Mus musculus: one gene and its partners. Each later gene encodes a partner of the first gene's protein in a complex. Links are inferred from orthologs where the notes say so. Each region holds a gene or a part of one and is shown in the gene's direction. Other genes may lie near its edges. The genes, in order: Rab11a, Sh3bp5, Myo5a, Rab11fip2, Rab3ip and Myo5b.

The links.
Region 2: the proteins of Rab11a (region 1) and Sh3bp5 are in contact, whole or in part, in a crystal structure (PDB 6IXV), measured with the Homo sapiens proteins. The link is inferred for Mus musculus from reciprocal best matches to the Homo sapiens genes RAB11A and SH3BP5. Residues at the interface, in NP_004654.1 of Homo sapiens: Tyr8, Asp9, Tyr10, Leu11, Lys13, Glu35, Phe36, Asn37, Leu38, Glu39, Ser40, Ser42, Thr43, Ile44, Phe48, Lys58, Gln63, Trp65, Tyr73, Ile76, Ala79, Arg82, Gly83; in NP_004835.2 of Homo sapiens: Asp42, Ile45, Gln46, Leu49, Glu50, Asn53, Thr56, Ile59, Asn60, Glu63, Thr64, Glu67, Lys240, Tyr243, Leu247, Leu250, Glu251, Ile253, Ser254, Asp255, Ile257, His258, Arg261.
Region 3: the proteins of Rab11a (region 1) and Myo5a are in contact, whole or in part, in a crystal structure (PDB 5JCZ), measured with the Homo sapiens proteins. The link is inferred for Mus musculus from reciprocal best matches to the Homo sapiens genes RAB11A and MYO5A. Residues at the interface, in NP_004654.1 of Homo sapiens: Arg33, Glu35, Ile44, Gly45, Val46, Glu47, Phe48, Ala49, Thr50, Gln63, Trp65, Gln70, Tyr73, Ala75, Ile76, Ala79, Arg82; in NP_001369276.1 of Homo sapiens: Ile1660, Gln1661, Trp1738, Met1742, Arg1745, Tyr1746, Ser1749, Gln1750, Glu1753, Arg1756, Gln1777, Gln1780, Val1781, Lys1782, Lys1784, Met1795, Glu1818.
Region 4: the proteins of Rab11a (region 1) and Rab11fip2 are in contact, whole or in part, in a crystal structure (PDB 2GZD), measured with the Homo sapiens proteins. The link is inferred for Mus musculus from reciprocal best matches to the Homo sapiens genes RAB11A and RAB11FIP2. Residues at the interface, in NP_004654.1 of Homo sapiens: Arg33, Ile44, Gly45, Val46, Glu47, Phe48, Ala49, Thr50, Lys61, Trp65, Arg72, Arg74, Ala75, Ile76, Ala79, Tyr80, Arg82; in NP_055719.1 of Homo sapiens: Glu478, Ile481, Asp482, Asn483, Leu485, Val486, Met489, Glu490, Pro493, Ser494, Leu496, Arg497, Val498.
Region 5: the proteins of Rab11a (region 1) and Rab3ip are in contact, whole or in part, in a crystal structure (PDB 4UJ5), measured with the Homo sapiens proteins. The link is inferred for Mus musculus from reciprocal best matches to the Homo sapiens genes RAB11A and RAB3IP. Residues at the interface, in NP_004654.1 of Homo sapiens: Phe36, Leu38, Glu39, Asp127, Leu128, Arg129, His130, Leu131, Arg132, Ala133, Pro135, Thr136, Leu156; in NP_783322.1 of Homo sapiens: Asn367, Thr368, Leu369, Ser370, Ile371, Glu372, Pro373, Asp412, Arg424, Thr428, Cys431, Asn432, Thr435, Tyr439, Leu444, Val445, Lys446, Gln447, Gln448.
Region 6: the proteins of Rab11a (region 1) and Myo5b are in contact, whole or in part, in a crystal structure (PDB 4LX0), measured with the Homo sapiens proteins. The link is inferred for Mus musculus from reciprocal best matches to the Homo sapiens genes RAB11A and MYO5B. Residues at the interface, in NP_004654.1 of Homo sapiens: Leu11, Lys13, Arg33, Glu35, Ile44, Gly45, Val46, Glu47, Phe48, Ala49, Thr50, Gln63, Trp65, Glu71, Arg72, Tyr73, Arg74, Ala75, Ile76, Thr77, Ala79, Tyr80, Arg82, Gly83; in NP_001073936.1 of Homo sapiens: Ile1627, Gln1628, Gly1629, Leu1630, Trp1706, Met1710, Arg1713, Tyr1714, Ser1717, Gln1718, Glu1721, Arg1724, Gln1745, Leu1747, Gln1748, Leu1749, Lys1750, Lys1751, Glu1755, Ala1759, Leu1763, Tyr1779, Glu1786.

The regions. Positions count from the first base shown.
Region 1 is NC_000075.6:64,714,800-64,717,778, reverse strand, and holds the end of Rab11a (ras-related protein Rab-11A), read left to right. Parts: intron 1-790; coding exon 791-930; 3' UTR 931-2,479; downstream 2,480-2,979. UniProt on the Homo sapiens protein: The small GTPases Rab are key regulators of intracellular membrane trafficking, from the formation of transport vesicles to their fusion with membranes.
Region 2 is NC_000080.6:31,374,608-31,377,100, reverse strand, and holds part of Sh3bp5 (SH3 domain-binding protein 5), read left to right. Parts: intron 1-1,236; coding exon 1,237-1,497; intron 1,498-1,899; coding exon 1,900-2,117; 3' UTR 2,118-2,493. UniProt on the Homo sapiens protein: Functions as a guanine nucleotide exchange factor (GEF) with specificity for RAB11A and RAB25. Inhibits the auto- and transphosphorylation activity of BTK. Plays a negative regulatory role in BTK-related cytoplasmic signaling in B-cells.
Region 3 is NC_000075.6:75,069,708-75,074,005, forward strand, and holds the start of Myo5a (unconventional myosin-Va), read left to right. Parts: upstream 1-1,498; 5' UTR 1,499-1,925; coding exon 1,926-1,952; intron 1,953-4,298. UniProt on the Homo sapiens protein: Processive actin-based motor that can move in large steps approximating the 36-nm pseudo-repeat of the actin filament. Can hydrolyze ATP in the presence of actin, which is essential for its function as a motor protein. Involved in melanosome transport.
Region 4 is NC_000085.6:59,940,565-59,944,833, reverse strand, and holds the start of Rab11fip2 (rab11 family-interacting protein 2), read left to right. Parts: upstream 1-1,469; 5' UTR 1,470-1,833; coding exon 1,834-2,186; intron 2,187-4,269. UniProt on the Homo sapiens protein: A Rab11 effector binding preferentially phosphatidylinositol 3,4,5-trisphosphate (PtdInsP3) and phosphatidic acid (PA) and acting in the regulation of the transport of vesicles from the endosomal recycling compartment (ERC) to the plasma membrane.
Region 5 is NC_000076.6:116,908,954-116,912,453, reverse strand, and holds part of Rab3ip (rab-3A-interacting protein), read left to right. Parts: intron 1-2,072; coding exon 2,073-2,172; intron 2,173-2,259; coding exon 2,260-2,329; intron 2,330-3,500. UniProt on the Homo sapiens protein: Guanine nucleotide exchange factor (GEF) which may activate RAB8A and RAB8B. Promotes the exchange of GDP to GTP, converting inactive GDP-bound Rab proteins into their active GTP-bound form.
Region 6 is NC_000084.6:74,701,119-74,704,618, forward strand, and holds part of Myo5b (unconventional myosin-Vb), read left to right. Parts: intron 1-326; coding exon 327-566; intron 567-3,500. UniProt on the Homo sapiens protein: May be involved in vesicular trafficking via its association with the CART complex. The CART complex is necessary for efficient transferrin receptor recycling but not for EGFR degradation.

The DNA.
Region 1 (2,979 bases):
TGCCTCCATCTTCTGATTAAAGGCTGTGGCTCTCCATGCATAGCCATGGATTTTTAATTTTTATTTAGATAGTTACCTACTGTATAAGGTAGCAGAGATAGAAAATTTATACTTATTTGACTCTGCATTTGTCCTATTTCTGCTTGAGCAAATTCACCAAGAGTTGTTTTGTCAGGGACACATGAAACCTGCATAGGAGTACATTGTGTCTTTTCTAGTACATCTTATTGGAAGGCTGATTATATTTGGTTGCCCGTTTGTAGAGTTTCCCTACTTTTTGATGATATTGCTTAAGAAGGAACACTGGGAAGGCAAGATGGAGGCCTGCGTTCTCTGTTTTTGTTTTTTTTGTTTTTTTGGTTTTTTTTTTTTTTGGGTTTTGGTATTTTGAGACAGGGTTTCTCTGTGTAACCCTGGCTGACCTAGAACTCACTCTGTAGACCAGGCTGTGTAGACCAAGTATGCGCCACCACTGCCTGGCCACAAATTGTTAAAAGCAATGCTTTGGTTCTAGTTAATGGCTATTTGAAAATAAAACCTTACCTTTTGAGATAAAGTTCCAGTAGCCCAGGCTGTCTTTTCAACTTGCTGTGTGGCTGAGGTTGGTCCCGAACTCCTTAATTTCCTGCCTCCACCTCCCAAGTGTTGGGGTCACAGATGTGCACTACCATGCTTAGCCTACAAATAAAATGTAATGTGTATCTTTCTGTTCTGTGTGTCTTCTGTCTCTTTTACACAAAGTCTTCATGGTTTATACACACTGAGTGTTTCTGTTTCTTCTGTCATTCAGAGATATACCGCATTGTTTCTCAGAAGCAAATGTCAGACAGACGTGAAAATGACATGTCTCCAAGCAACAATGTGGTTCCTATTCATGTTCCGCCCACCACTGAGAACAAGCCAAAGGTGCAGTGCTGTCAGAACATCTAAGGCGTCTCTTCCCCTAGAAGGCTGTGTATAGTCCATTTCCCAGGTCTGAGATTTAAATATATTTGTAATTCTTGTGGTCACTTTCTGTGTTTTATTACTTCCTTACACTTAAGAATCTTCCCATGTCTTAAGTCTTTTGATTTGGCTTTATAAAATCCTCAACTTTGTCCTGAATGACTGCAGTTCTTTTTCATGCTATGGCTTCTCTAGCCTTAGTTTAATAAACTGAATGTTTGAAGTTCTCAGTTATTGTTTACTCTTCATCATGGAAGCCTGTCACTGTAGGACAGAATAGAACTCTATCACTTGAAGTTTAGACCTATTGGTCCTGATCAGATCTAAGACAACCTTAGAAATAAGCTATTGTTTTGCCACAGAGCAGCTTGTAAGACACTCTTCTCAATACAGTACATATTTTGACAGATCTAAGGATTGCCCTGTAAACATAACAGCATTTTGAGAGCTTGAAGATTTTCCATTGTGGAAGTCAGTTTCTAAAATGCCTTAATAGGTCTATGTTGTAAATTTTTTCTTTAATTTTTGTAAGCATCAAACATGATGGGGATTCTTTTTTGTTGTTTTTCTGGAAAAGAATTAATAAACACAAAGGACTGTTATGGTTTGCATAGGGTGTGGTTATGTGGTCAAAGTTACCCTGCTGTCTGGTAGGCTAGTGGACTTCTGTCTGAGGTGTCTCTGTTGCAGTGATCGGCAGCCAGAGTAGCTTAACCAATCTCATTTCCTAGATTGTGATATTTTTATTGCTCATGTAATAACTAGCTTAATGCTGGTAATATCACATTTTGAAGTGTTAATTTTGCTTTTAAACCTGTCTAGTAAGTGAAATGCAGCCTAATTTTATCACCATATTCAGCAACCAGCATGGGTAATTATTTTAACAATGCTTATATTTGAGTTCTGCAGTGTATAATGGAATATAGCTCAATTAATCCTTTGGTTTTAGTATGTCTAAAGAATACAGTGAGAAGTTAATTTATACTCAAGTGGTACCACTTAAAGGCATGTGTTCTTTTAGTATGTAAAGTGAAATAGTACCTTGAATTTAAGTAGAATGTACTTAGCCATTGTAGGGCCCTGAAATAGATTTTTCCACTACATAATTGAAATCAATGGAACAACTAGTTTCTCATTCAGAAATGTACACACTAATACTTAGTTTTACTTCCTTGTGGATAATATTAAGCACTTACCCTGACGTTTTCTGAAAGTTAACTGCAAAGACGTTATTAAGGATGGTGGGATACCTGCAAAAACTGTGTGGGCTTGCATAGATGACTATGTTTCATGGTTAAATCTTCTGCCTTTTGCAGTGCTCATGATGTGTGGGGAGCACAGAAGGCATTGCTATAGTCAGTCATTTTGTTTTTCTTTTGTAGTTATTTGTTATTTTAGTGTATTGGTTATAAAGATACTGTCTATTTATAAATTGCTACTTTGTATTTTATGCATGCTCTGTATTTGGACTTTTTTTTAATCTATTGATTTGGAGTACATCCTCATCCTAATAAACAGTTACAGGGGCTTTCCCAGTGTGGTGAGATTACATTCTTCTTCTGAGTGCTTTAGAAGTAGCCATGAAAACCTTGCTTCTGATGAGTGAGAAGATAAGTCCTTGCATTGCTGAGTAAACTTGGATTGGGGGCAACTGTCAGTTCAGGTAGACTTTAGATCTGCAGAGAACGTTGTACTCTTGGGGAGCTATTTCTAAAAATGGTGGTGACACAGGCTGTATTTTTCTAACAGTGTCACTAGACACAGGAAAAGCTTCCATTTCTATTAAAATTTACGATAGATTTATGAACTAAAACTAAGAAAAAATAAATTATGTAGTGAATGAAAATGAGTAAGAGTAGCTTTTTAAAATTTTTTTATTTTAAACCAAGAATAGATTTTTTTTTCCCCAAGAATAGGTTTAAATGCTACTTGTACATGGTGGATTTTGGGAGACCTCCAGGCAACATTAGGTATTAGAAAGAGACTTTGCTTGCATGTCAACAAGAGTCTTCATGTTGAGTTAGATCTCAGGAG
Region 2 (2,493 bases), on another chromosome or scaffold:
CCCATTTCACCAATGATGGGGGACAGAGGGGCCTTGATGTGTTTGCTGTGTCAGCTGCATGAGGGTCTACTCTGCTACACAGGGTGCTGAGGAGATACCTGGCAGCTCTCCCTAGGGTCTGAGCACACGGGTCTCCTCTGCTCAGGGATATCCTGTGCAGAAATGATAGGATTGACCTAGCTTCCGTTAATCAAGAAAACTACTGACAAGAACACTACCTCATAGCTCTCCCTTTCCTGTGTGCTTAGGCTTCCTCCTCAGCAACTCTTTTTTTTTCTTTTCCTTATTACTATTATTTAAGAAAAATAATTTGTATCTTTCCCACATGAATCTATGTATACCACATAATTGCCTGCTATCAGAAGAGGACACTGGGTCTTGTGGAATTAGTTATTAGCTGCCATGTAAGTGCTGGAAATCAATCCTGGGTCCTCTAGAAGAGCATCTCTGGCCCCACCAAGTGTTAAAGGCCATCAACAAATGCTGAATTGCCAGTTTGAAGGGAAATGAAACTAAAATGTAACCAATGCCTATGTACTGAGTTACTTTACATATTACCTCATTAATCCTGTGCACAGAGCATCCCGAAGCTGGGCAGTCAAGTGACTTACAAGGCCACACAGTCAGCAGTGGCGTTAGGATATGAGTTCAGATCTGGACCCATTTCCTAGCACAGCACTTGTATCAATCCACTCTGGAACGCTAGGCCATGTTTAAACAGTCACAGGCACAATGGGAACTGGGAAGGATCTTAAAAGTGATAGTGCAGGCTGAAGAGGCTTTGAAAACAAGAATGGCCTGTCTCTGAGCCTCGGTTATTCTGTCCACAAACTCAGAGTCAGTTAGAGTACTGGAAAGGAGCACTGTACTTTGTAGCGTGTCTGTTGAGATCAGAAGTTATCAGACATCCCACCCCGGCCTGCCCCTCCTTCCAGCAGCTCTTGCTGCTTCCGTCTTCCTTCTGCCTAGTATAGGCTACATTACAAAGGGCTAGTCTGAATTTACCTTCCCCTTTCCTTCGGCGCTGGGGATGGAACTCAGGCCTTTGTATATGCTGGACAAGCCGCTTCCTTTCAAACTGTTCTGGAGGCTGGTCAGACAGGTTCAGGTGCGATGCAGGTCCTGCAGACTCCATGTTGTGTGAGCATGTCCAGCAGAGAGCATGTCTGCAGGCATTTAAGGGACTGGGCTACTACCTGGCAGATCCCATGTGATTGATGTCCTCTCTCATCACAGTGGCATCAGAAGCCTTTGAAGATGACAACTGCAGCAACTTGGTGTCTGAAGATGACTCGGAAACCCAGTCTGTGTCCAGCTTTAGTTCGGGACCGACGAGTCCGTCTGAAATGCCTGATCAGTTCCCTGCAGTGGCAAGGCCTGGCAGTCTGGATCTGCCTAGCCCTGTGTCCCTGTCAGAATTTGGGATGATGTTCCCAATACTGGGTCCTCGAAGTGAATGCAGTGGGGCCTCCTCCCCTGAATGTGAGGTTGAACGAGGTAGGTTGCAGCTCAACTTGTGCACTGTCCATACCTTTGCCAGGTCTCAGGGGCCCTGAGAACATACAGTGGGATGGATCACTCAGATTACTTTCAAGGGCACTTCTACAGTCCTGGCCAACTTCAACCAAGCAGAACTTAGGTCCCATGTCTCCCCTAAGAACAATCCTCTCGGCAAGTTCCTGTTGGAGAGGTTCGCTTCCTAGCTACAAAATGACAATGGTACATCTCATCTCTAAAGAACAGATTAGTGAGTGCATGTAGTGTGCCACCCAGTGCTGGAGAACCTCTGAGATGTATGGTGGACAGCAGGAATGGCAGAGGGCTCAGGTGGCCGATGCTGGTGCCTATGGAACTCTTGAAACTGACCACCCCCATTTGGCAATCTTTGTATCTCTGCAGGAGACAGAGCAGAAGGGGCCGAGAATAAAATGAGTGACAAAGCCAACAACAACCGTGTTCTCGGCAGCACCAACGGTGGCAGTGGCAGGAGCAGGAGCCAAAGCAGCACGTCCCTTGAGAGCCAGGCCTTGGAAACCCGGATGAAGCAGCTCTCCCTACAGTGCTCAAAAGGAAGAGATGGAATTATTGCTGACATAAAAATGGTGCAGATTGGCTGATCCACCCAAGGGCTATGGCCTATGTGCAGATCATATTTATACATGAAATTCAAGAACATTGTGCCAATAATCATTTAACATAAGCCAAATAGTATGCATTTACTCTAAACTGCACTAACCAAGTTTCAGTGACCTTGAGGGCTAAACATTTTCCCTCTGGTAAGAGCTCTTGGGCTGGTGTGCTTTTCAGAGCAGAGCCATTGCAGGTAAACCGTGACCAGGGAGGGTCACGGTCTTTGCAGAGCATTCCCTGTAGCGGCAGCGTGGAAGCAATAACTAGTTTCTGAGAAAGAACCTGCAGGGCCAGGAGGAGAGCTGGACACTTAGCCAGACTGGGGTCACCAGCCTTCATCTCTATCCCCACTTCCTCTTCTTC
Region 3 (4,298 bases), about 10 Mb from region 1:
ACCACCAAAAGAAAAAAAACCCTTTCTCCTACCCCTCATCTTCTCTTTCTCTTACATCAGGGTGGTTGAAAGTATGTCTTTGAAAATTTTGAAAGAATGATTCCAATTTTATTTTTGTTCATGTAAATAAAAGTCACTTTTATAAGAACTCTCAGAGTTTTGAGTGTTTTGGTTCTTCCTACCCCCCCCCCCTCCGACTCACCAACCCATCATACTCAGTATTCCTCAACTGTCCTGACCGGTAGCTAATATCTAGAGGGTAAGGAAACAGGCACCTTCTACAGGCATGAAGGAAGTGTAAGAGACAGGAGCTCAACTCATTGCTTTGGATGCTCTGCTGGCTCAAAGTACATTTTGTCTCCTTTCACAGGCAGACAAAGAAAGGATGGAATCCAGAAACATCAAAGTGGTGAACAGTCTTCCTTCAAATACCCACCTCATGTTCAGACATAACTAGGGAGTCAGGCTTGTGCTTTGACTGCCATTGTACTGGTCTCAGAACCATGTCTCTAAAATTTCACCATTCACAAGGCAGAGGCAGGAGGATGGCGAGTTTGAAGAAAACCCGGGCTGCTTAGTGAGACCTGTCTCAAAACCCAACAAGCCAAACAATAAAACTGGATTCCCATGATAGGCACTGGCCACAACTTAAGGTTTAAAGAAGGAAGATGGACACATTTTAAAAGGCTAAAAATTTTAAAGAGTATTCCAAGTGAGCACGAAAGTGTGGCTGGAGAGAACATGTTGGGATGAAAAAGACCACATTCCTGTGTCCGTGTAAGGGCACGGAATAGACTGCGTCAAGACTGCAAACACTTGAGTTTCTCTCAGTAGGTTGCCGTTTTCAGGTGACTCCAGGATCAGCATCAGGTAGTGCTGTCACGATCAGCAGAACAAAGGTCTCATTCTGAATGGTGGCGAACCTATGTAAACGCCCAAGTCTAAGATGGGCCATTTCCCAGTGCCATCTTGTTTTCAGGTTCATTGGAGTTTCTGTGTGTTAGAGGCCACCCTATGTCCTTGCATCACCAAGGGTGCAAACCCAAATGCAGAGTGACCTTGAGCATCCTTCAAATTCCGGGTGGTGCAGCTTCCCGCCCTGCCGTGAGCAAGTCTCTTCTGGAGTTGCAGGTTCTCAGAAAGGCCTTTCCCGAACCCTCCCCTACCTCAAGTCCTCTCCCTACAAACAGCAGGGCCAGGAGGAGCAGCCTTGAGGCTGCCGGGTCTACGCGGGCACTCTAACCGTCGCTACCTCGAGCGGGACGCGCTCCCTCACTGCCCCACCTTCGCGCACACTGTGGGGGGCCACTCCGCCAAAGCAGGTTTGGGATGCCAGCCGCATGGGCCGAGGATGCTCGGTGCCCGCCGCCGATGGGAGGCAGCGTGAGCCCGAAAGAGCCGGGAGGGATCGCGGTGGCAGCGCTCGAGCGCAGCCTCCTCCCGCTCCCACAATGCACAGGGCGGCGGCGGCGGCGGCGGCGGCATCGCGCGCCGCGGAGGAGACAGAGGAGGCTACAGAGACCAGGCCTCTAAGGAGGCGAAGCGGCTGAGGAAACTGAGGGAGCGAGGGGGCGCTGAGGACGCGAGGCGACTGAAGAGACCGCAAGGGCTGTGTGTGTGGACCAGGCGGCTTGGGGAGACTGAGGCGGCGACGGCCGCGGAGGCTGGTACCCGAGTCCCCCGAGCACGCGCCTCGGGCTCACGCGGCCGCCGAGCCCTGGAGGTGATGACTGTCAGGCTCCCGCCCGCCGCTAGCGCCTGACGCGCCCCGCCCCGGCCCGCCCGGGCCCGCCCGCCAGCTTGGCCCGCCCTGCCCGGCCCGGCCCTTCCCCTGCTCCCCGCCCGCCACCGTTTCACCCGCGCGGGCGGCCGCCACGCGAGCTGCGGCCTCCGCCTAGGCGGGGGGCGTCGGCGCTGGGCCCGCCATGGCCGCGTCCGAGCTCTACACCAAGGTAACGCGCGCCGCAGAGCCTTGTCCTGGGGAGGGGTCGCGCGGCCGGGACCGTGGCTGTAGGACCGGCAGGTTCCACCGGACTGCACCCCACTGCCCGGCTGTACCTCCTTGCCCGGCTGTACCTCCCTGCTCTGCCTCCCGAGCCCATTTCGGATGGGATGCTCTTGGGCAGATGCTCGGGCCGCTCTCCCGGGACTCGTGCTTAAAATAACGTCCTGTGCCGGTATGCGCCAGGCAGCAGCCTCTCGGGGAGATTATTTCGGATTCTGCAGTTATGGCCAGTCCGCTTTCACCTTTAGCTGCCGGGTTCTTGCCATTTGCCCTGGGGTGCGGAGCCTGTGGGAAGATGCAGCCCGGAGATGGCGAGCTTATTCTTAGGCTTCTTGGTGCCTGGGAGTTTGCAACCTGCGCGTTATCCCCGAGAGCCTCGTTAGCTCTGTGTCCTCACCCTCCTTTCCGGCGAGCCTTTCCCTTTTGGTCTTCATTTAGGGGAAGTGGCAGCCTTTTCAATCTTAAACCGACGCCCATATTCTCAGGGTCTGGTAATCTCTGAATGGCGTATTTTGGAGAGACTGTTTAGAAAATCTGTGTTGGGCAGTGTGTGGTGTATGCATTCATGGTATCTTATGTTACGGTTTCAATGGATGTTTTGCCAGCTAATGATTATTAAAATTACCTCTAATTCCACTCAACAGAATTGCCTTAACTTTTCAAGTTCATGTTTTTACATTTTTACCAGAATCTCTTTCTTCCCGTCTCTCTCTGTCTCTGCCTTTGTCTCCCTCTCAGGCACGGAGATTGAATGTAAGGGCCTCATGCATACTAGGTAAACCCTTTACAACTGAGCTATATATAGATAGCCCCAGCTTTCTGGACTCTTCTTTTAGCAGTTTGGAATCATCTCTTGCACACGTGACATCAATAAGCCCAGAGCCCAAATTGCAGCCTTGAGGAAAGAAATCTGTACCTTTCCACCCAACTGTGTGACATTTGGCAAACTACATAACCTCTCTGGTTCAGGTTTCTTACTTGTAAATAGAGTGAATTTTATTTGTCCTTTTGTCCTTCCTTACAAGCTGTTGTGAGGATCACATTTAATACTAGTTGTGAAAGCTTTCTGTGACTCTTTTTTTTTTTAAACAAATATGAGGTATATGATTACTTTCTTCCAGCCATGAAATGAAGAGCTTGCATGAACCTGGGACTTTCTTTCTAGCCCTAGATTTAAGAAGTGTACAATTAGAACATTTCTCTAAACCTAGTAATTTTTTTTTTTCAGCATGGCAATTCTATAAGACTATCATTGGAAATTGACTAAAAGTTACCTTCTTAACTTACATAGTACAATTCTAAGTGTTTTGAAATATTAACTCATTTAATCGTTGCAATTTATGTATGAAGTAGATACAAGTAACAATTATGTCACTGTGACGAGCTGTCACATTGTTACATTGTTCTGTCCTGTCTGGCCCCCTACCAGGCCCCTGCTATCAGCCCATCTTGAACCTGGACCTGCTAATTATAGGCTGATAAGCAGAAATTAGGTGGGTGGTAAGTTGCTGGACTTCTAGATCTGTTTGTCCCCTGCCCCCACACAAAATATTTTGTAGGGAAAACTGGGGAAGGTGTTGTCATTTTTAAATAATAAAGTTTTGAGTTTCCATCACAGTGTAATAGAATTCATCTTATAGTCTTCCTAGATACAGACAGATTTAGTCACTGAAACTGAGGTTGGGACTTAAGGGGCTTTTTCCTAAATTTAGATATACCTCAGAATAGCCTGACTCTGTAGTTATTTGTGCACTGATCTGTGAATGGGCCTTAGTTTAATGACAGGAAGGAATATTTATTGAGTGTCCTGTAAACCAAATACTCTGTCTTGTGTTTAGAGTTTCTAACAGTGGACAAGTCATAGCCCTTTCCTCATAGGGCTCACAGTCTGTTTATTATATTCTTGACCCACTTTGAATCTCCAAAGGCATAAATAACCTGCTGTTACCTTAACAACAGGCTGGCAGATGTGTTAGCAGGACATAGGTGATGTCTGGATATGGCAAAGGTTGGACTTATTCTAGAGGAATGATTCTAGAGTAGTAAGTATTAGGAGAGGGAAGGAAACCATTAGAAGAAATGTCAGTATAACCCAAGTGTCTGTCCCTTGCAGATGATTGTAGAGAAGGAAGTGGTGGATAGATTACAAGGAAAAACATGTTACTGACATGGCATAATTGTGATATTCAGCATGTGAGTAAATATGAAAAGTGCCCTTTTAAAAGTTGTCATCAGACCTTTAAGGCAGATTTTGATGTGTGATACAGATCAGCTTCTATTACAGTGAAGGGCA
Region 4 (4,269 bases), on another chromosome or scaffold:
GGGATGGAAACTCAGCTTGTATAACAGAAGTTCTAAAACTTGCCCGATAATAATAAACCCAATACCTTACAGTTTATGACCATTTTAAGTTGGATAAAGCACATTCCTATCTATCATATTTATTCTCAAAATTAGTCCCATAAAGGGAGAAAAGCATTTAGTCAGTCAACAGATTGGTTAGCATGTCTGTTTAATGCTTAGTTCTCTAAAGTCCTTCAGGGATGTCTAATCTTTTGACATTGCTTGGAGAGCTGTTGTCTGTCTGCAAAGTTCTCCCTGAAGAAAAGCACAATGCAGTTAAATACTCTCATAGCATTTAAGGTTGGGTTTGGCCTCATTCATAGCTATTGTTGGCCGCAGGTTGGATGTGCTGCCAGGAAGTGCAGTCCAAAGAGCTTCAGAATTTTCCTAGGCAGACATGGACAGAAATAAAGTCAACAGAGGTAGTATGCATCTCCTGAGACTGAAAAGCAGAGACAGTACTCCTGTCCTCTCTGGCCATGAAGTTGGGGTTTGGATTCCTGGAGGACTTGACAGTGAGCGCTCAGGGAATGCTTTTGACTTGGACGCCATACACACAACTTAGAAAGGGGGAAAAAAGACTAAATAGTTCCGTAGAATTATGGTGGCAGGCATGGGGGCCTGGTCTTCTGACGCCATCCCAAAGCGTCTATGATCTTTATTAAGCAAGGGAATCTTTATTAAGCAAGAGAATCTTTATTAAGCTTTGGAATCTATCTGCATCCTTTGCTTTTGGTCTGTGCTCAGGAGGAGGTCCCTTTAGTCAGTTGAAGGTTTCCTCTTCAAGACGATGGAGAACGGTTGGACGAAGTCTGAACTGTCACTCAAGAAGAACTACCACCATTAAAGGACACCAGCGCCCAGCTAGGACTGAACACACAGCTGGAACAGATTTCTGCCTTCCAAGATGGAAACCGGTTCTCTCCCAATAGCGGGCGGTGTATAGGGCCCAGTGCCGCCTCCCAGAACCCCTTGTCGGCCTCTGCGGGCTCACAGTTCCCCAGCCCGCTGCAACCGACAGGTTGGAACCTCAGCACCCACCGTCCAGCGCGCGCATCCCAGCCTCCGCGTCCCGCACCGCGCGCCCCGTCGTCAAGGCAACCAGGGAGGCGCTGACCCCCAACCCCGCCCGGCCCCGCCCCTCGCGCAGCCCCACTCAACATGGAGACGGCCAACCCGGAAGTGGCGCGGCCGCCGCGCGCCGGGCGCTAGGAGCCGCGGGTTGCTGGCCAGGCCTCACCCGGTGACACCGCCCGGCCTCGGTTTGCCACCCGCGCTCCGCGTCCCTCCGACACCGGTCCAGGTCGGCCGCTTCCGCCCCGCTCGCCCAGGCCTGCGCCACTCTTGGGGGGGAGGAGCCGAGGCGAGGCCGCGCGGGCGGGCGGAGGGAGCCAGGCCCCACGGCCGTCGACGGTTCGTATCAGCCGGGTCGGAGGAGGAGCCGGGCCGCGCGGGGCGGAGGCCGGGCCCTAGGGGCGCAGGTTTCAGGATAGCGGCGAAGCGGGGCGCGGGGCTGCGCGCGGAGGCCCGGAAGGCGCGGAGGTGATGTGGGCCCCTGTGCTTCTACGGAAGAAAGGGACCCCAGCAGCGGCGGCGGCCTCCCTACCGGTCCTCCTGACAGCAGCCCTTAGGGACCTCGCGGCAGCCCTGACTGCCCAGCTCACTGAAGTGCTCTTAAGGATGCAGTGATCAGGGTACGGGGCTCTCCCCGCGGGAGGGGCTCTGCCTGCGCTTCTGAACTCTGCGCAGAGAAAACAAAACAACAACAACAAAAAACAAAACCGAAAAACAAAACAAAACAAAAAACCCAGAATGATGCTGTCTGAGCAAGCCCAAAAGTGGTTTCCAACCCACGTGCAGGTCACAGTGCTCCAAGCTAAAGATCTGAAGCCAAAAGGCAAAAGTGGTACCAATGACACATACACCATAATTCAGTTGGGCAAAGAGAAGTATTCTACATCTGTAGCAGAGAAAACCCTGGAGCCGGTCTGGAAGGAGGAGGCCTCCTTTGAGCTGCCTGGGTTGCTCATGCAGGGTAGTCCGGAGAAATACATTCTTTTTCTTATAGTGATGCACAGGTCCCTGGTGGGACTGGATAAGTTTTTAGGGCAGGTGGCAATCAATCTCAATGACATCTTTGAGGACAAACAAAGAAGGAAAACAGAGTAAGTTATATAATTTATTTTGAATTTTGGGTACTTAAAGATATATGGATTTACTGTTCTTGAACATAGTATATTTGAGGCATTGGTCTTTGGGATTGAAATAGGATCCAGTATTAAGCACTTCTCTTTGCATGACTTTGAAGGGAAATAGCCTTTACTCTGATTTTTTTTTTAATGGAGTGATTAGTAAACCATTTTTTTTTCTCATTTCTGTGTGAGGTTAAGAGCTCTTAGTGGAATATTTTGCACTGGGTTTTAATACTTTTTATAAGAGGCCTAGAGCATGAACTAGAAAACCAGAAAATTAAATATATGCGTACCATTAGGTCTATGTTTGTTGAGCACTGTTAAAAAAATAAATTACTAGTAAAGGGTGTCAAAAGATAAGTTACTAGGTTTAGAACTCTTTATTTCAGCATTGGAAACAGTTGGCCTTATTTTTGCTCCACCAGTTTTCAGGGTCAGTACTTCTTGATAGGGTAGAAAGTTGTTAAAAGAACAAAAGTTTTGGAAGTCTGCACAGACATCTTCAGTCTTGAGCCCACTGACATTTTCCCTTTGAATTTACAGTATAGTGGAGCTATTGTTTACTGAAGAATTAGTTCAGCAAAGCTGTTGTGTAAGATCAGAGACAGTGATTACAGTCTTGTGATGCAGTGATTTAATGACTTCTTCGATGAAAACATGGCTTTTGAAATTGAACTTTCTAGCCTAAGTTAGATATACTTAATTTAAGAAATCAAAATTCAAATCAACACTAGGATGTTATGTGCTAAGTTGAAACAAGTAGCATCTTTGGAAAGGTAGGTCTGCTGTCCTGCTTTTAGCTTACATGCTTGTACACGCTTACCTTACACGCAGAGCTTGTAATGGGCCTGAAGGCTCATTGAGATGGCTGGAGTTTGTGAAAAGAGGGCTGAGGGAACTCATCAGAGGACTGCACTTTTCCCAAGTAGCTTAAAAAAAAAAAAGAACAAAACCCAGTCCTGATGCATGTTCATCTACCTACCCTTTAGAGCACTATTTTTGCAATGATAACTTTAAGCTCACATTAATTTCTTACAAGTATAGTGATCTTTTATCTGTCTTTATTTCCTTTGTAAAACCTGCCAGCAAACTTCATTTAATAAGAATTGTTTTTGTTTTGAATAAAGTCTTTACCTAAGATTTAGTGTATGTAAGAAAAAATACTAGAAATGCAAGAAGAAAAAAAATAGGTAAATATTCAATGAGGATGGGGGGAGGAGAAGAAGTTTAAGTTGTATATTTAATGATTTTTAAATTTCCTGATACTTAATAGCATGTTATTTCTTCTGAGGGATTCTTCATCAGATTTAAAATGAAAAAATGAATAATAACCAAATAATTTGTCCCAAATTGTCACTATGAAATGATCTAGTGTATACCCTTTAAAGTGTTTTGACTGTGAGGTTTTGAGCATCTACAGTTTCAAAATTTTTTGCCGTGCTTTAAAAAGTGCTTTTAATATTAATGGTAATATACTGCAGACCACTCGAACGTAAATTCCCAAATTTAAGTAGGCCCAAGTGTAGATCCAAAGATGCTGAGAACGAAGTAGCCCTTTAAAAATTTCTTGTTTTATTTCCGCCTTTGGCAGCTTTGCAGTTACAATAAACTAGACCATGAACAATACTCTAACAGTGTAGTCTGTCTATAAAATCAAGGACAGCTTTTGGAAGGGAGATGCTTTGAAATGCTATCAACAGGGTTTGCGATGTTACTGCACACAAAGAGATTTTCATGTTATTAAACCCTTATTGTTTTGTGCGGGTGACTAAATGGGAACTGTGTATTTGATGAGGTATCTTTATTGGTAATATTTCTAGATTTTTAATATATTTAATAGCTTCCTTTTTCCAACCCAGCTGCACATGTGGCACAGTAAGAGACAGACTTGAGCCACCAGTGTATTAAAAGAAAGGTATTTAATATGCTGCGCATTGCTAGCCCTTGTCAGCATATTCCCAAGTGTTTTTTGGAAAAGTGGAATGAGTGATGAAGGCTACCAGCTGATTGAGATGTCCTACGAAACTGCTGGGTGTGAAGCTTTGTATTTTTGACA
Region 5 (3,500 bases), on another chromosome or scaffold:
CCTCCCCCTTTCCCCCTCCCCCTCTCCCCCCCTCCCTCTCCCTCCCGCCAGTGCCTTTACCCACTGAGCCATCCTGCTGGCTCCGAAAGTGCAGTTTTAAGCAAACTGTAAAGCCCTCCTGAGGCTCCTGGGAACTGGCTTTCAGAAATGGTGACTAAACAAATGGCAAGTGCTGGGGGTGTTTGAGAGAGACAAGGTCATTCCAGCTGGAACAGGGGGCCCTGGATTGGAGAGATTTGTCTAGGGTTTGGGGTGTGGGTAGAATTGAATAAATTGGAACAGGAAAAGAGTATGTTCAGAGGAAAGGGAAAACAGAAGAGGGAGAGGTGTGACAAATGAAAGACCGGAAGTAGATGGGGTGGGGCTGGAAGAAGGAGGAGCCTAGTCGTGACTGCCCCTCAATTGGTTGGAATTTGGAAAAGGTTCTGGCTTGTGGAAGAAGCTATGGGCTGGGATTTCTACGCTGCCATCCCTGAGTGACAAGGGGAGCGATAGTCTGGAATCTGGAGCCTAGGCCCGTGAGGAGACCCCGCAGGCGTGGCATGTTCTATGCCAGCCTCACAGGAGGCAAGGCTAGGAGTGAGCCCGGGACCATGGCAGCATTGAAAAGGATCATTTAAGATTTTTTTTAAGCAATTGAGGAAAAGTTTTTATTGGGCACGAGGAAGCATATACACACAGCACACACACGGAGAAGGACCCTCCATAAGACAGAGCCAGTGCTTTGAAGGGCACTTCTTATTAGTCTAAAAATTAGCACCTGGGACCTCACGAGCAAAACCCTCTCAAAGTGAGACAGACGGTGAAAGAGCAAACATATTTTCCAGAAGAGTAGCTGTAACTGGCTTGCTTGGTTTTTTCAGTTGAATGGTATTTGTTTTCCTTCTGAATAAATTCTGCTTTTGTATGTTACAAGGACTTCTAGCTGTTGAATCTTAAATTTATTGACTTCTGATCCTTCCCAAGCCAGTAGTTAGTACTTTTAAATATTGCCACGGGTCTTTAAAACAGTTTGCACGTGTGTGTGTTTGTATGTGCATGCATGCATGCATGTGTGTACATGCATAGGCGATAAGGCAAAGTCTCTTTGAAAAGAACAGAGAGTCTCTTTTTCAGAGACATTTGCAGTATGCCTTTAAAATGATCTTGTTCCAAATAACACGTTATGTACTTGGTTTCTTAGCCGAGGAACACCTGTGTCTCGTAGGTGCAGCTCACATCTAATGTGGCTCATATGTATTGATTGCCTTCGTTGTGTAATTTGTAATGGCATGTCAAATGGTATTGGCCACTTCCTGAGAGCTATGCTAACTTTCCCTTAACTAAGAGGGGTGGTTGTGTCTGTCAGGTTCCCAGCTGACGAGTGGGCAGGTCCAGCCTGGTACACAAACGGGCTTCACTCTTGGAGCAGCACGGTGACAGGTGGCCCATCAGTTATTTAGCAGTCAGTGGGTGGCTACCTGGGGCCAGGCTTTAAAGATAAATAAGACACAGTATCTACCCTCCAGGAATGTATAGCCTTGACCAGCCGGAACACCCACAGACACACAGACAGACAGACAGACAGACAGGATGGTATGAGCTGGCCTCTTCATACCAGCGTTACGGTTTTGTATCTAAAGGGCGGCTTGCTTCTTTATACTTCTTACATCCGACACCAAGTGCAGCCAACCCTACCAACCTCACAGACTGCTTTTGGCAGCTGTTCCTGTTATCGGTGGTTGTAAGACTCGAATAGTCCTGATTAGCTTCCTCTCAGCTAGGAAGCTGAAGGTAGGTGAGCGCCGTCCTGCAGCTGCTTGCCCGCAGCCGGGACGTGTATGGCAAACACCATCGTCTGTTCTGGAAGCGAGCTCAGTGCTGCTCAGTGCTGCGGCCGGAAGCTCATGCTGGGAGTCGGTCGCACAGGGGCAGGGTCTCTGTCCTGTTCTTCACGGTGGCCCCGCATCCAGAGCAGGCCCGTCACATGTTAGGGTCTCAGATATTTCCTATCTTAATGAAAAACTAAATGTAAAGGAAGTAGGGCAAATGCTTTCAACTGTAAAACAAAGCTGAAATTTGTTGTTTTGCAGAAAGTGTGCGCTCACTGGCCAGAGTAAGCCCTGCAGGCACAGGATTAGGCTCGGGGACTCCAGCTGCTGTTACTACATCTCTCCTTTCTGCAGATACAGGGTGAGTGACATGTGCCACCGTGGCCTTTAATACTGTCTGCCTCGCTGTGAAACTGACTGGTTGTGACGTCTCTCTCTTTTGGCCTAGATCACTTCTGTATGTAACTTTTTTACATACATTCGATACATTCAGCAGGGACTCGTGAAACAGCAGGATGGTGAGTGGTCTTGTTTCACTGTAGACATTTGCTTTAAGGTTGAGCCCGTCAGAGCAACAGTGTAATTGTTCCTGCAGTTCCATTAAACTTCCTGACCACTACTAACAAAACTTTGGATAATTTAGAAGAACAAATACCTCATCCACAAAAGACGGTTTTTATCCCATTTGCTCTTGAGGTTTGAGTAGAACCAGTTCACCTTGCAAGGGATATGTGATAGATCACACTGTACATGTCACGAGTGTTGAATCGTACTGTATTCACCCTTTGAGAGATCAACAGCTGGGGGGAGAGGGGGAGACAGGAGGATAACACTTTCAAGGCCAGGGAAAGCTGTAGGATGAGTTCAAGGGCAGCACTAGCAAGCTAATGGTATCCTGTCTCAGGAAAAAAAAAAGTTTAAGAAAAAATGTCAAGGATCTGGAGAGATATCTCAGTGGTTAGCACACTGATTGCTGTCCCAGAGGTCCTGAGTTCAGTTCCTAGCAACTACATGGTGGCTCACAACCATCTGTAATAAGATCTGATGCCCTCTTCTGGTGTATCTGAAGACAGCTACAGTCTGCTCACATAAATAAAATAAGTAAATAAAAGAAAAAAAATTGTCGGGATGGGTATGACTCATTGGCAGATTGCTTCGTTAGCTCACACGAGGTTCAGCTGCCATTCCTTGGGGAGTCTGTGGGTATGAAGATAAGCAAGCCCTAGAAGTGCTCAGACTGACTTTAATTGATGGGAGAGTGAAGGGGCCAACCGTAAGTTTCCTGTGTTTTCTGCTCTCATGTCCGACTTCCCGAGGTGGAGATATGATGGTACCAAGTAAAGCAAGGGTCACCATGTTCCAGTCAGCAGAAGGGCGCCAGCCACTGCAGTGGTGTTAGAATCTTAGCATAGCCCTCAGGCTGCTGATGGGCTTTAAACACCAATCACAAGGAGCAAGGCGGCAGTACAGCCTCAGAGCAGCATTACTGAGCCCACGAGACTGTTCCAGAGCAGGGCCCGCAGCAGACGCAGGGAGGGCAGGGAGAGCCTGTCACAGCAGACACAGGGAGGGCAGGGACAGCCTATCAGTCACAGCAGACGCAGGGAGGGCAGGGACAGCCTGTCAGTCACAGCAGACACAGGGAGGGCACGGAGAGCCTGTCACAGCAGACGCAGGGAGGGCAGGGAC
Region 6 (3,500 bases), on another chromosome or scaffold:
CTCTAACGAGGCCACACCCCCTAATAGTGCCATGCCAAGCAAGCATTCACACACACACAAGTCTACGGGGGCCATTCCTATTCAAACCATATCTATCTAATAAATAAAGGTAGAAACAAGAGTTTGTCAGCCACTCTCCTGTGTACACAAGGTCTACAGAACCTAGCTAAAACTTTCCATCAAATCCTTGGATGTTACAGGCCACATATGCATGGTCTCCTAAACCCAAGGCCAGGCCAGCTTTCAAACCCCCGTAGTTACAGAAGCTGTACCTGTCCCCATCCTGCAGAGCAAACCCACAGGATATGTGTACTCATCCTCACCAGGTCCTCATGGAGCACAAAGCCACCATCATCCAGAAGTACGCCCGAGGCTGGATGGCACGGAAGCGTTTTCTGCGGGAGCGGGATGCAGCCATTGTCATCCAGTGTGCCTTCCGGAGACTCAAGGCCAGGCAGGAGCTGAAGGCCCTCAAGATTGAGGCCCGCTCGGCAGAGCATCTGAAACGCCTCAACGTGGGCATGGAGAACAAAGTCGTCCAGCTACAGCGGAAGATTGATGACCAGGTCAGTGGTAGGAGTCTCCTACATGGGTGTCGAAGCTTAGGGGATACTGGGACATGCTTGAGATGGACCCCCAAGCTTTCTCAGGGAGCTGCAGGTACCAGAGACCTCAGGGGCATTGCCCAGTCAGTAAGAATAGTTGCTGAACATAGTCACTGAATAGTGTCACTCCCCAACAAAGGCAGCACGCCCCAATCTTCGGGATCTACAAATGTGCTCTCTCACACACAACAAGGAGCTTTGCAAGAGTGCATATGTTAGAGGTGTCTGGATGGGAAGGTGGCCTTAGGCTGTCCAGGTGGACCCCATGGGATCATAGCGTGCTCACGAGAGAAAGCTGCAGACAGGATTGGGGAGCAGGATGCAGAGCCACAGGCTCCAGTATCCAGGCCACCTTTGGGAGCTACAGATAACAGTGGGAGGTTTTCCCCTGGAGTCTCTAAACAACCACAGTCCTGCTGGCCACCTTTAGAAGCTCCTTCCAGAGCTGCAAAATAGTAGCTTACATTGTTCTGAGCCACCAGCTTCATGGTACTTTTTTTTTTAAGATTTATTTATTATTATATTTAAGTACACTGTAGCTGTCTTCAGATGCACCAGAAGAGGGCGTCAGATCTCATTACGGATGGTTGTGAACCACCATGTGGTTGCTGGGATTTGAACTCAGGACCTTCAGAAGAGCAGTCGGTGCTCTTAACCACTGAGCCATCTCTCCAGCCCTCCATGGTACTTTTTAATGGAGCAATAAGAAATTGATAGATTCGTCCAGAGTCCTGAGGCCCTGCCTCTCCAGAGGCTTCACAGTATAGCTACAGCAATGGCTGTGTGGACCCACACCGTGTTTCCCTCTTTGTTTATGACGGTCCCCATGAGGTAAATGTTGGCATCCTGTCTGATATGACATTGGTATTGCATTGATTAGGCTTTTTAACTCTGCACTGGCTACCTTCGCACGTCAACCAGCTGGATGAGCAGTGTGTCAATGCCCACTATGGATGGAGTTCTGTGACAGGATCTGAGGCAAGCGTAAAATACTGCCTTCTTTGAGGTCATGTAGACTCAGGAGAGAAAGGATGAAGGCGCACATGGTGTGGATGTGAGGAAAAGAAAAACCTGGCAGTGGGGGACCAGCCATAGCAGTGGGGGACTGGCCATAGCAATAGGGGGCCAGCTGTGGCAGTGGAGGATCAGCCATGACAGTGGAGGATCAGCCATGACAGTGGGGGATCAGCCATGACAGTGGGGGACCAGCCATGACAGTGGGAGAGCAGCAGTGGCAGTGGGGACACTTGATCTTAATGTACTCATGCTATAGTAGGCATTTTTGGAGCTTCTCATAACCTGAGGGCAGGAAAATAGGTGAGTCATTTTGTTTTGTTTTTGTTTTTATTGGTATTATTTTTTAAAGATAGACTTTTATGTAGTCCAGGCTAGCCTCAAACTCCATTTCTGGCCAAAAATGACTTTGAACCTCTGACTCTACCTCCCAAATGCTGGAAGCACAGTGGTAGGCTACCAGGCTCAGTTTTATCCCCTGCTAGGGCTCACCCCTGCTTCATGCCACAGGGCAAGCATCCTGCCAACTGAGTCACATTTCCAGTACAATGAACCAGTTTTTGGCTAAGCTAGCTGTCCTACACATGAGCCCCTGTGTGGAGACAGCTGACAATGGGGCACTTTGCTTTCCTGTTCTGGGCAGAGACCAGGCTTGTGGAAGAGCCAGTGCCCTGGGTATGTGTTCTCTTGGAGTTACCCAGAGTGTTGGCTTGGATGCTGTCTTAGTTAGGGTTACTATTGCTGTGATGAAACGCAATGACCAAAAGTAAGTCAGGAAGGGAAGGGTTTATTTGGCTTAGACTTCGACATCACAGTTCATCATCAAAGGAAGCCAGACCAGAAATTCAAACAGAGCAGGAAGCTGGAGGCAGGAGCTGATGTAGAGGCCATGGAGGGGGTGCTGCTTACTGGCTTGCTCCCCATAGCTTGATCAACCTGTTCTCTTATAGAACCCAGGACCACCAGCCCAGGGACGGTACCACCCATGATAGGACCATCCATTGGTCTTCTCCCCCGCTGATCACTAATTGAGAAAATGCCCTACAGTTGGATCTCATGGGGGCATTTCCTCAACTGAGGCTCCTTCCTCTCTGGTGATTCTTGTGTCGAGCTTATACACAAAACCAGCCGGTACAAATGCTCAGTATAAAAAGACAGCCCTCCCAGTGTGAGCTGGGGATGCCCACTTCCTACCCTGGTCAGCCTGTGGTGACCCAGCAAGTCAGGGAGAGGTCTGTGAAAACACAAAGCACCACGGTGTCCCCTGTTTCTGTCAGGACTGTCAGTGCCAGTGACCACTGAGTCACTTTTCTAGACACAGTGTGGCCAGAGGACAAGGCGACTAAAGCCACTGTCCCTACTAGGGAGGAGCATCTGTGTACCCAGGCCCCCCCTGGGCCCTGGTTTCAGATAGTGCTCAGTATTGGCCTTGCTGGTGTGTGAGGTCAACTCCAGAGGATAAAAATAACACGGTATTTCCCACCCCACGTGCTTGAACGTCGGAGAGAAGCAGATTTGAAAGGCCTATTTTTAAATAAAGCTCTCGCCTTAAGCTTTCTGCTCGGCAAACATTTGTGAGCAGTGGCAGATGCTGTCACCCTGGGCAAGGCTCCCTGTATACAGCAGGTAATCAGGGAACATGTGAGATCTTTCTCACACTGATTCCCTTGTGGTTTTCATGCCAGGCACTGTACCCATGCCTTAACCCACTGATCTTCACCACACCTATGGGATAAGTATTGCTATCATCTCCATTTTAACCATGAGTGCACTTAAGGGCACAGAGGGGATAAGTAACCAACCAAAGGATGCACAGCCAGGAAAAAGCCTGGCTGAGATTGAAGCTGCTTTCAGGGAGGCTTTGCCACCTCTGGCTGGGTT